Linked DNA regions of Arabidopsis thaliana. The protein of the gene in region 1 interacts with the protein of each later gene in a pairwise test. Each region holds a gene or a part of one and is shown on either strand. Other genes may lie near its edges.

Region 1 (5,467 bases):
ATTCAAATGGGTGGACAAAAGATTGTTCTGCTTTCGATCTTCGTATGTTTTTACGTGTTTTCACTTGTGTCATGTACTGAATTTGAAGCTGGAGGAGAAAATGGTTGGATCATTCCACAATCTAGTAACCAAAGTGACATCTTTAACCAATGGGCTTCCAAGAACCGGTTTAAAGTTGGCGACACTATCCGTAAGTTTTTCTTTTGCTTCTATTATGAATTTATGATCATCGTAATGCATATATTGAGTTTTGTTTTGATTTGGTGGAAAGGTTTCAAGTACAAGAAAGACTCTGTTTTGGTGGTAACAGAAGACGAATACAAGAAATGTCAGACGACCAAACCGGAACTTTACTCCAACCACGATGATACGGTTTTCAAATTGGACCGTCCCGGTTTGTTTTATTTCATTAGTGGTGTCTCAGGCCACTGTGAACAAGGTCAGAAAATGATTATTAAAGTCATGGAGGTGGAATCTACGCCGCAATCTCCTCCACCTTCCTCGTCTCTACCCGCTTCAGCTCACAAGAAAAACCACGCCGTGAGGAAAACGAGTCGGTTCTTAGGTGCCGGTTTAGTTACAATTTCGATTCTGGTTATTACGGTTTTTAGTCTTGTGTAGTATGGAAAACAATACCACTCGGTTATGGCGGTTCAGCCGTCGAGTTTTATTCCGGTTTAGGTTTTGTTGCTTAGTTTATTTAAGGTTTTTTTATTCATTTGATAGGTTGATTTGATTTTGGTTTTTGGTCACTTCAGAGCTTTAAAATAATTGAACTCATGTCTTATTTTATAAGTTTAGTATCCATTTTAATTCTATTAAATTCTAGGTTTATTGAAATACAATGTTTTTTACCTTTATCTAATTATAAACAAACAACTTTCAATTTTCTATAACAAAACAAAATCAAATATTTTGACAAATTTTCTAAATATACACTTTTTAGAAACATCTAATATTTTTTTTAGAAATTCAATAACCCTACTCAAAGAATCAAATCCAATAATGGAACACGAAATTATTTTGTTATATAAATTTTTATAACAAATTATGAAATTTATAACTCATTCAACCGAGATTGGGTCAACCCTATAACCTTATAAAATTTCCAATTAGCATTTTGCTCTAGCTATAAAAACATTGTCAAAACATGATCAAGTGATGCATCAAAATACATAGTTTGTAGTCCGGTCTAATCGCCCGAACCTAGTTTACCTATACATGGACTTTCTGTTAAAATAAACCGACAAAAGAAAACTATAAGTTATGGTCTTATGGACATATCAGAACACAAATCAATCGAGCGACAAATGAATTTTTTTTGCAAGAAGTGGATACCACGAATGGATTACTTGTCCGTTCACACCTTATCAAAAATCAACCAAATATTATTCTTTGTACCATTTTTAAAATTTTAAAACAAGATACATTCATCTGTTTCTATCAAATGCATTAGTCAATAACGCTTCCATCCAACGGCGAATAAGAGGTATACACGTGGTGAGGCATAGTTGATTCAGCTTTTATACACAAAAGTCTCGAGGAACAACGTGAGAAGCTCTAACAAAACGTGAAGGCCACAACTATTATCAAAGGCACATAAAACACACGAACACAAAAAAAGACAAAGACAATGATTATTCAGACAAGTTTCGTACCTATTTGATTCTCTACATTCCTCTCTCTCACACACCAAACTCACATACACAATCTCTCTCTCTTTCTCAACATGTCTATATAAATACACCCACGTCTATACTAACTCACATCATAGATTCACAATTTTGAACAAAGAAAATTTCTTTGGAGAGAAAACTTAGAACTTAGATTGACATAGAGAAATGAGGAAGTTTGGTGGATCATTGTTCGGCGTAAGCCTATTGCTGTCCGTTCTTCTAGCGGCAGCAACCGCGGCAGCGGAGTACTATAACTACGGAAGTGCTCTTGATAAGACCTTCTTGTTCTTTGAGGCTCAACGATCAGGGAAGTTGCCAGCTGCTCAACGTGTCAAATGGCGTGGCCCTTCTGGTCTCAAGGATGGTCTTGCTCAAGGAGTAAGTCCATATACACACAATGCTTGCAGTATAGTTGGTTAATACAATGGATCTCTTAATACATTCCAAAATTGATACTTCCTGATAAATACCATCGTATGAATTGCAAAACTAGTACCAAAATTACCACTTCTTCAACTAGAACATGTTGGCTAGTGTGGTTTGTATTGGTTCTGTTCTTGTATCACCATCTATAGGTTCAAACAGAAAACTTGTTGTTTGGAAAAAATAACACTTACTGGCATACAATATTTTTTTAAAACCTTAAATCTACAAGGTATTGTTGTCACTTGTCATCAGTACAAAGATTTAATTTGTATGAAACCTTGACGTACTAATTCCAATAAAGAAAATATATGAAGTAATAAAATGATATTGAGGTTTGTGTATGTATGAATGAATAGGTGAGCCTGGAGGGAGGATATTATGATGCTGGAGACCATGTGAAATTCGGTTTACCAATGGCTTTCGCAGTGACGATGCTATCGTGGGCAGCGGTTGATAACCGGAAAGAGCTATCCAGTTCGAACCAGATGCAACAGACATTATGGTCAATCAGATGGGGTACTGATTACTTCATCAAGGCTCATCCTCAACCAAATGTTCTATGGGGTCAAGTTGGAGATGGAGAATCAGACCATTACTGTTGGGAACGTCCCGAGGACATGACCACTTCAAGAACAGCTTATAAGCTTGACCCGTACCACCCTGGCTCGGACCTAGCCGGTGAAACCGCTGCTGCTTTAGCCGCTGCTTCCTTGGCTTTCAAGCCATTTAACTCCTCTTACTCTGCTCTTCTCTTATCTCATGCCAAAGAGGTTCGTTTGTTTTTTGTTCAACTCCTCTTACTTTGGTTTATGAATCCGGTTCGGTTTAGATTCTCAACATTTTTGAAACTTTGTTTTTGTATATTTTAGCTCTTCTCATTTGCTGACAAGTACAGAGGACTATACACAAATTCTATCCCAAATGCAAAAGCTTTCTACATGTCATCTGGTTACTCGGTATATATATTCTCTCAACACTTTCATTCTCTAATCCTTCCATTGAATCTTGTTCCACTACTAAAATGTCTCTCTTGTGTATTTCTTTGAAGGATGAGCTTCTTTGGGCTGCAGCTTGGCTACACCGCGCCACCGGGGATCAGTATTACTTGAAGTATGCTATGGACAATTCCGGTTACATGGGAGGAACTGGCTGGGGGGTGAAAGAGTTCTCTTGGGATAACAAATACGCCGGTGTTCAAATCCTTCTCTCCAAGGTAAACTATAGTTTTGTTAAAGAATGTTCTTCACGGTTTCAAAAATACTACTAATCATGGTACTTGTTTGATTTGTGTGTGTATAGATCTTGTTAGAAGGGAAAGGCGGTATATATACTTCGACATTGAAGCAATATCAAACCAAAGCTGACTACTTCGCTTGTGCTTGCCTCAAGAAGAATGGTGGCTACAACATTCAAACAACTCCTGGTGGTTTAATGTATGTTAGAGAGTGGAACAATCTGCAATATGCATCCGCGGCTGCGTATCTTCTCGCGGTTTATTCAGATTATCTCTCTGCAGCAAATGCTAAACTCAACTGCCCTGATGGTTTGGTGCAACCTCAGGGGCTTCTTGACTTTGCTAGATCTCAGGTAATGATCAAATCCTCCCAAGAAACCGAAAATTTTTCTCGTTCTTTTCAATCCGGTAACCGAGGTTTTCCTTTGCAGGCTGATTACATTCTTGGAAAGAACCGTCAAGGAATGAGTTATGTAGTTGGATATGGACCGAAATATCCAATCCGTGTTCATCATAGAGGCTCTTCAATCCCTTCAATATTTGCTCAACGTTCTTCTGTGAGTTGTGTACAAGGATTTGACTCTTGGTATAGAAGGTCTCAGGGTGATCCTAATGTTATTTATGGAGCTCTTGTTGGTGGACCTGACGAGAATGATAACTATTCCGATGACCGCTCAAATTACGAGCAATCAGAACCAACATTGTCAGGAACAGCTCCACTTGTTGGCCTATTCGCTAAACTCTATGGAGGAAGTTTAGGTAACTAAACAATAAACCTTGAGCTCAAAGTCTTTAGCTTTACCCTTATGGAATCATAAAGTAATGTAATGAACATTTTGTAGGATCTTATGGAGGAGGATCATATAAACCTTATGAAACTACAAAACCAGCAGGTTTGATCTTTTTTACTTGCAGCTTCCAATGCAACTTTTTCTACAGTGTCTGATTCTCATTTCCTCTAAAACTGTCACAGCTTCATCTTACAAAGCAACACCAACAACATACAGTCCAAAGCAATCAGGTGCACAAATCGAGTTTCTTCATTCCATAACTAGCAACTGGATAGCCGGGAACACAAGATACTATAGGCACAAAGTGATCATCAAAAACAATTCTCAAAAACCAATATCAGATCTCAAGCTTAAGATTGAAGATCTCTCAGGACCTATCTGGGGTTTAAACCCAACGGGACAGAAGTATACTTACCAGCTTCCTCAATGGCAAAAGACTTTGAGAGCAGGACAAGCTTATGATTTTGTCTATGTACAAGGTGGCCCTCAAGCTAAAGTCTCAGTTTTGAGTTACAACTAGTGAGAAAACAACACTTTCTTCAATCTTTTTGTTTATGCTTATTATGAGTGAAAGATGTGAACATAGCCAACCAAGTTGAGCCTAAATATGAGAAATGTAAATTTGTGACCCTTGGTAGAGAATGCTTTTTTGTCTACCTATTCATATGGCCCATACTTAGGTAAAATAAGTAATGATAGACGAAGATAACAATGATTGAACACCCAAAGCACTCAAAATTGAGCTTAACTTAACATTCAGACAAAAATTTAAGGTTCTGACAGAAACTTAACTAGAACAAAAAAGAAACGAAACAATAAAAGGATGCGAAGTATCATAAGTTAACAACATAAGAAGAGACTTTTCTTCTACAGACGCTTCTACTCGTCACCGAAGGTAGTCTTCTTACCTGCAACATATATTGCAAAGCCAACATAAACCCAAGAATTAGTGACATGTTAACTTGTTATAAAGAAGCTAGAAAACATGAATCAAGAACAATTTATCTAACCTTGGGGAGTAAAACTAGGTCTTCCACGACCACGATCACTTCCCCTGCCACCACCACTACCAAAACGACCACGACCTCCATCTCTTCCTCTGCCACCACCACTACCAAAACGACCACGACCTCCATCTCTTCCTCTGCCACCACCACTACCGAAACGACCATTGCCCCTTCCAAATCCACCACCACCACTGCTATCTCCTCTCGGTCTAGGCTCATCGACTACAAGATAGAATCCTCCTCCCATATCACTTCCATTTAGTTCCAACGCCTTCTCTTTGCCTTCTGAAAACTCAAGGTAAGCAATTCTGAGGAGAAAAAAAACATTAATTT
Region 2 (4,516 bases), on another chromosome or scaffold:
TCGTCTTGCCAAAGAAATTCTAAGCAAATTGAAGTTAGGTGTGTGACTGTATTGGAGAACAAATTTGAAGTATATATATGTTCTCAATTCTTTCATGACTATGTAAACATTTAAATTGTATGACCTGCAATGAATTTTAAAAAAATGGAAGTTTAATCATAGTATTTGACTTTTTTTTTGGGTAGGCTAATCATAGTATTTGACTAGTGATGAAGAAATAATATTGTACCAAATGATATTTAAATTTCAATAATAAAATAATTTTAAGAAAATAAATAGAAGTTTTATATAAAGTGAATTATAAAATGGAAGTTTAATCATAGTATTGACTAGTAAGAAGCAATACAATATTTACCATTTTGTTTTGTATCACTAATTTTTTAAAGCTATTTACTTACCAATCTATAACTAATTTCATAAACAACAAATCGAATAAAATCTGAGCAGGCGCGTCAATAAAATTTGAAAGTTATTAGTGATAAATGATAATATAGAAAACAATATCTTTTGCACCGCATCCCTATAATAACATCAAACAAATCCATAATTTCATAAGCAAACAAACCTAACAAAATATGACTTAACTCCATCCTAATTCAAAACCCTAAATTTTCATTTTACTTTGTTTAAAACTTGGCTAATTTTTGTTCACAAACAAACAAATTTCAAAACCATCACAATATGTATGTTTTATGGTTTGGATTACCCATCCATAAATGCAAACTCAATGCTAATTCCTAGTATCACATGTTAATTACTCTTCACACAGTATAGCACAAGCACTCTTGCAAAGTTGCAATAATTCACTATGGACCATCAATTACGAACATCACTATTACATCAAGCAATAATGAGCTCTGAGCAAAGCTGTGGACAAAAGACAGAGACTTTTCGTTAAACAAGATAAGAACAACAAAGATCAAGATACTCAAGATAAACGAATCAGAACCAAACGACAACGAAATAATGTTCTCAATAGACTAGACAGACATATCACATCAGATATTTTTTTTCAACTTTTCTTACATCGTTTAATAATTAACTAATTAAATCTCTTACAATCACATAGCAATGTCATTACGAATGTGACGGAGGATGACAGGAATAACAGAATCTGGTGAGCTAAGCTGAGGAAGATGACCATCAGAAGGAATAACCTCGACGACGGATTCACAGCCAAGATTGGCGTGAAGATACTCGGAGACAACGACTGGTACAGCTAAGTCCTTAACACTTTGGAGAATGTGACACGGAACAGTGACAAAAGGTAAGATCTGTCTCATGTCACTTTGGAAAATGGTCTGGCCGACGGAGAGAGCTATGTCGGGACGCATATTGAAGAGTGTTCTGCTGAATTCTTGAACGGCGATGGAGTCCATGTCGCCACCGACGGCGAGTGGAGCGAAACCTAAGCACCACGCTTTGTAGTTGCTTCGGATGGCTTCGAATAGTTGGTTTAAGTCTTCTTGTTCGAATCCACCTTGGTAATCAACATCGTTTACGTATCTATAAACGTACCAAAACAATATAATTTGATTATATATGTTTCTTTTGTCAGAAGAAAATTAAAATATATAATATACTGTGTGAGCACCGTTTCAACAATTTTTTTTAAAAAAAGTGTAAGTAACACCTCAGTAAAACCAAATAAAAAAAAACAAATAAACAAATGGGTATTTCATGATTTTTTGTTCATAATTTACGGATTTTTATTGAAATATATAATGAAATGCTTCACTGATTTTGAGAAATAGGATAATTCAGACAAGAGGATAAACAAAGAGGCACTTTGTCGAAATTATGTCAGAATGAGAAATAAATATTTCGAAATAATAGATAATTGTGTAAATTTAAGGACTTAAGATGATTTTTTTTTATTTAAATTGTAATGTTTAATAGTTTTTATGAAATCAGACAAGAGAAGGAACAGAGAAGCCCTTTTGTCTAAACTATGTCAGGATGAGATAAAAAGCAAAACATATTTCTATGTACAACTTGTGAAAAAGTTATACCTCGGAGAAGCAGAGATCATGACGATTTTGGAGAAGAGATCAGGACGGTTAAGAGAAGCCAAGACACCAATCATGGCAGAAACAGAGTGGCCAACAAAGATACAAGACTCAATCTTGAGATCTTCCAAGATTGCAATCAAATCGAAAGAGTAGCCTTCGAGATTTGAGTAACGATCGAAGTCGAAATAGTCAGGGTTGGTCGTACCGGCTCCCATGTTGTCGTAGAGGACGACGCGGTAATCGTCGACCAGATGTGGAACCAAGTGTTTCCATACTGACTGGTCCGTGCCGAACCCGTGACCTAACACGATCGTGGCTTCTCCTGAACCAATCACCTTCACGTTGTGAGCTTCTTCTACCACACCCATCTCTCTAAAGAAGATTCTTCTCTGGTTTTCTTCTTGGTACCTCTCTTAGTCAGTTCGTGGAGAAATTATGATATTTGTGTTGTTTTAGAGTGTTACGTATTATTCTTTATAAAAAAATTCGTATCTGTGGAAGAGGAAATAAATTATTTAAAATATCGCGATTTACAGGTGGCAAAAAAAGGTGAATGGAACCATGTTTGTTGGATTGTCAAACATCGCTATTCGTGATAATTTGTTTTTTGGAATCAAGCCCAAAATATTTTGGAACATTTAATGGAGTACATGACGTGGAGTTACTGACTTCTGTTCAACAATAAAATTGTTACATTGGGTTACAAATACATGAACCAATTATTTTTAATTTTGTGCATGAATTTCAACAATGCATTAATGCGAAAGAAAATTAGTTTCAATCATTCAAAGAGTGGCAGCAAATAGTCAAAAGCTGATATAATTATTATTTTAACAACACTAGTTAAATTTCGCATGTATACAACTTGCAATGAATATAGCATCTAAAAACCTCATAATATTTGTTTTTTTCTGCTTGACTTTAACTTGTCAGTACTTTTCGATCATTTAGAAGTTAGAAGACATTAATTATTCATGGAATGCCATGGTGAGTATACGACCACGTATTCACATCCACTTCCTCATCATTTTAAGAGTCAAAAATATCTGTGAGAGGATCCTGGCCCATTAAAATTCAAGGCCCATTTAGTGTAATATGGCTTCATGTTCTCTCTTTCCTAAGACCGTTTTTACTGTTGACCAATAAAGTCTGAACTCGTGATGACGTGGCGTGAAATCGAGAGACCCACGTGTCATCGGCGTGCCGTTATCCTCTTTCCACTTCCGGTCTCCGTTCCCACCTGAGTAAACCATACTGGTCGTGAAATGACGATTCTCGCCGGGTTGATACGCCGGCGTTTTAGTAGATTAGTTCCGGTTCAACTGAATTACGGTTTCGAACCGTCGCGAATTCTCTTTAACCCGAGTCAAGGAAGAACTCGGTTGCTGAGCGGCGAGGCTGAGTCCAATCGGAACGAGTTTCCGGTGGAGAACGCTTACGATATCTTGAATGTCTCCGAAACCAGCTCAATCGCAGAGATCAAAGCATCATTTCGCAGACTCGCCAAGGAGACTCATCCTGATCTGATCGAATCCAAGAAAGATCCATCAAATTCGAGACGATTCGTTCAGATTCTCGCTGCTTATGAGGTACAATGAAGAAAGCTTCACTCTTCACTCTTATGATTAGTTTCAAAATCGAAAATTTCAAGCTTTTCAAGCTTTTGTGATAGAGTTATAGCTTTAGAAGTGTCTGATGAATGATTTGTGGTGATGATACAGATTCTATCAGATTCTGAAAAGAGAGCACACTATGATAGATATTTGCTATCTCGGAGAATGGTAATGAAGAAGCACTCGGGACAAGGTTATATGATTCACAGGTATAAAACAGGATTGACATTGAGTCAAGAGATGGAAGTAGTTGAATGGTTAAAGTGGTATAGAGAAGCAATACATGATATAGTATTGGAGAAGAGAGTAGCAAATGGTACTGGTTACTTAGATGAACTTGAAGAAGATTTTTATTCAGCTATACGAGCGGCCTACTTTGGGCCTGATGTTGAATCTGTTGAGCTTCTTCCTGATTGTTTTGAAGCTGAGGAAAGGTCTGTGTATGATACACGAGAGGTTTTGCATTTGGTATCAGGACGGGATCTTTTTGGTATGGTTTCCTTGGTTGATAACTTCCTTGAGCTTTCTTCTGCTTGCTCAAAGAAATTGGCTTTGTCGTCGTTTATGGATTCGGACCTTGGTCAAGCAGTTGAGAAAGGCAACAATGACATGATGTCTGCTGAAAGGATTGGTCTTCAGATATCTCATATACAATCTTCAAGAAGTAAAAACCATGTTTCTGATGCGTATAAAGATATTCAGCTGCATGTATCTGGAAGAGTTGTTGCTACAGCCATTAGGGTTCCCCCAAAAGGGTATCATGAAAAGAAACAAATTGAGGGTGATCACGATCTTATACACGTTTTCCTCAATTCAGATGAAGGATCTAATCATGGCACTGAATCGCCTCCGGGAAATGAAAGTGGTGCCAGACTTCTTGTTGGAACTATA

What was found.
Region 2: the proteins of GH9C1 (region 1) and KAI2 interact in binary tests that used the Arabidopsis thaliana proteins (3 or more experiments, as listed by UniProt).

Annotation. Positions count from the first base shown.
Region 1 is NC_003070.9:18,100,962-18,106,428, reverse strand, and holds GH9C1 (glycosyl hydrolase 9C1), read left to right. Parts: upstream 1-1,660; 5' UTR 1,661-1,841; coding exon 1,842-2,054; intron 2,055-2,458; coding exon 2,459-2,872; intron 2,873-2,971; coding exon 2,972-3,058; intron 3,059-3,150; coding exon 3,151-3,315; intron 3,316-3,401; coding exon 3,402-3,689; intron 3,690-3,767; coding exon 3,768-4,095; intron 4,096-4,178; coding exon 4,179-4,229; intron 4,230-4,309; coding exon 4,310-4,647; 3' UTR 4,648-4,786; downstream 4,787-5,467. Other genes in the region: ENODL6 (early nodulin-like protein 6), read left to right, coding at 7-190, 272-621; NUC-L1 (nucleolin like 1), read right to left, coding at 5,007-5,035, 5,138-5,442.
Region 2 is NC_003075.7:17,615,984-17,620,499, forward strand, and holds KAI2 (alpha/beta-Hydrolases superfamily protein), read right to left. Parts: upstream 2,674-4,516; 5' UTR 2,381-2,673; coding exon 2,013-2,380; intron 1,507-2,012; coding exon 1,062-1,506; 3' UTR 676-1,061; downstream 1-675. Other genes in the region: AT4G37480 (Chaperone DnaJ-domain superfamily protein), read left to right, coding at 3,278-3,601, 3,734-4,516.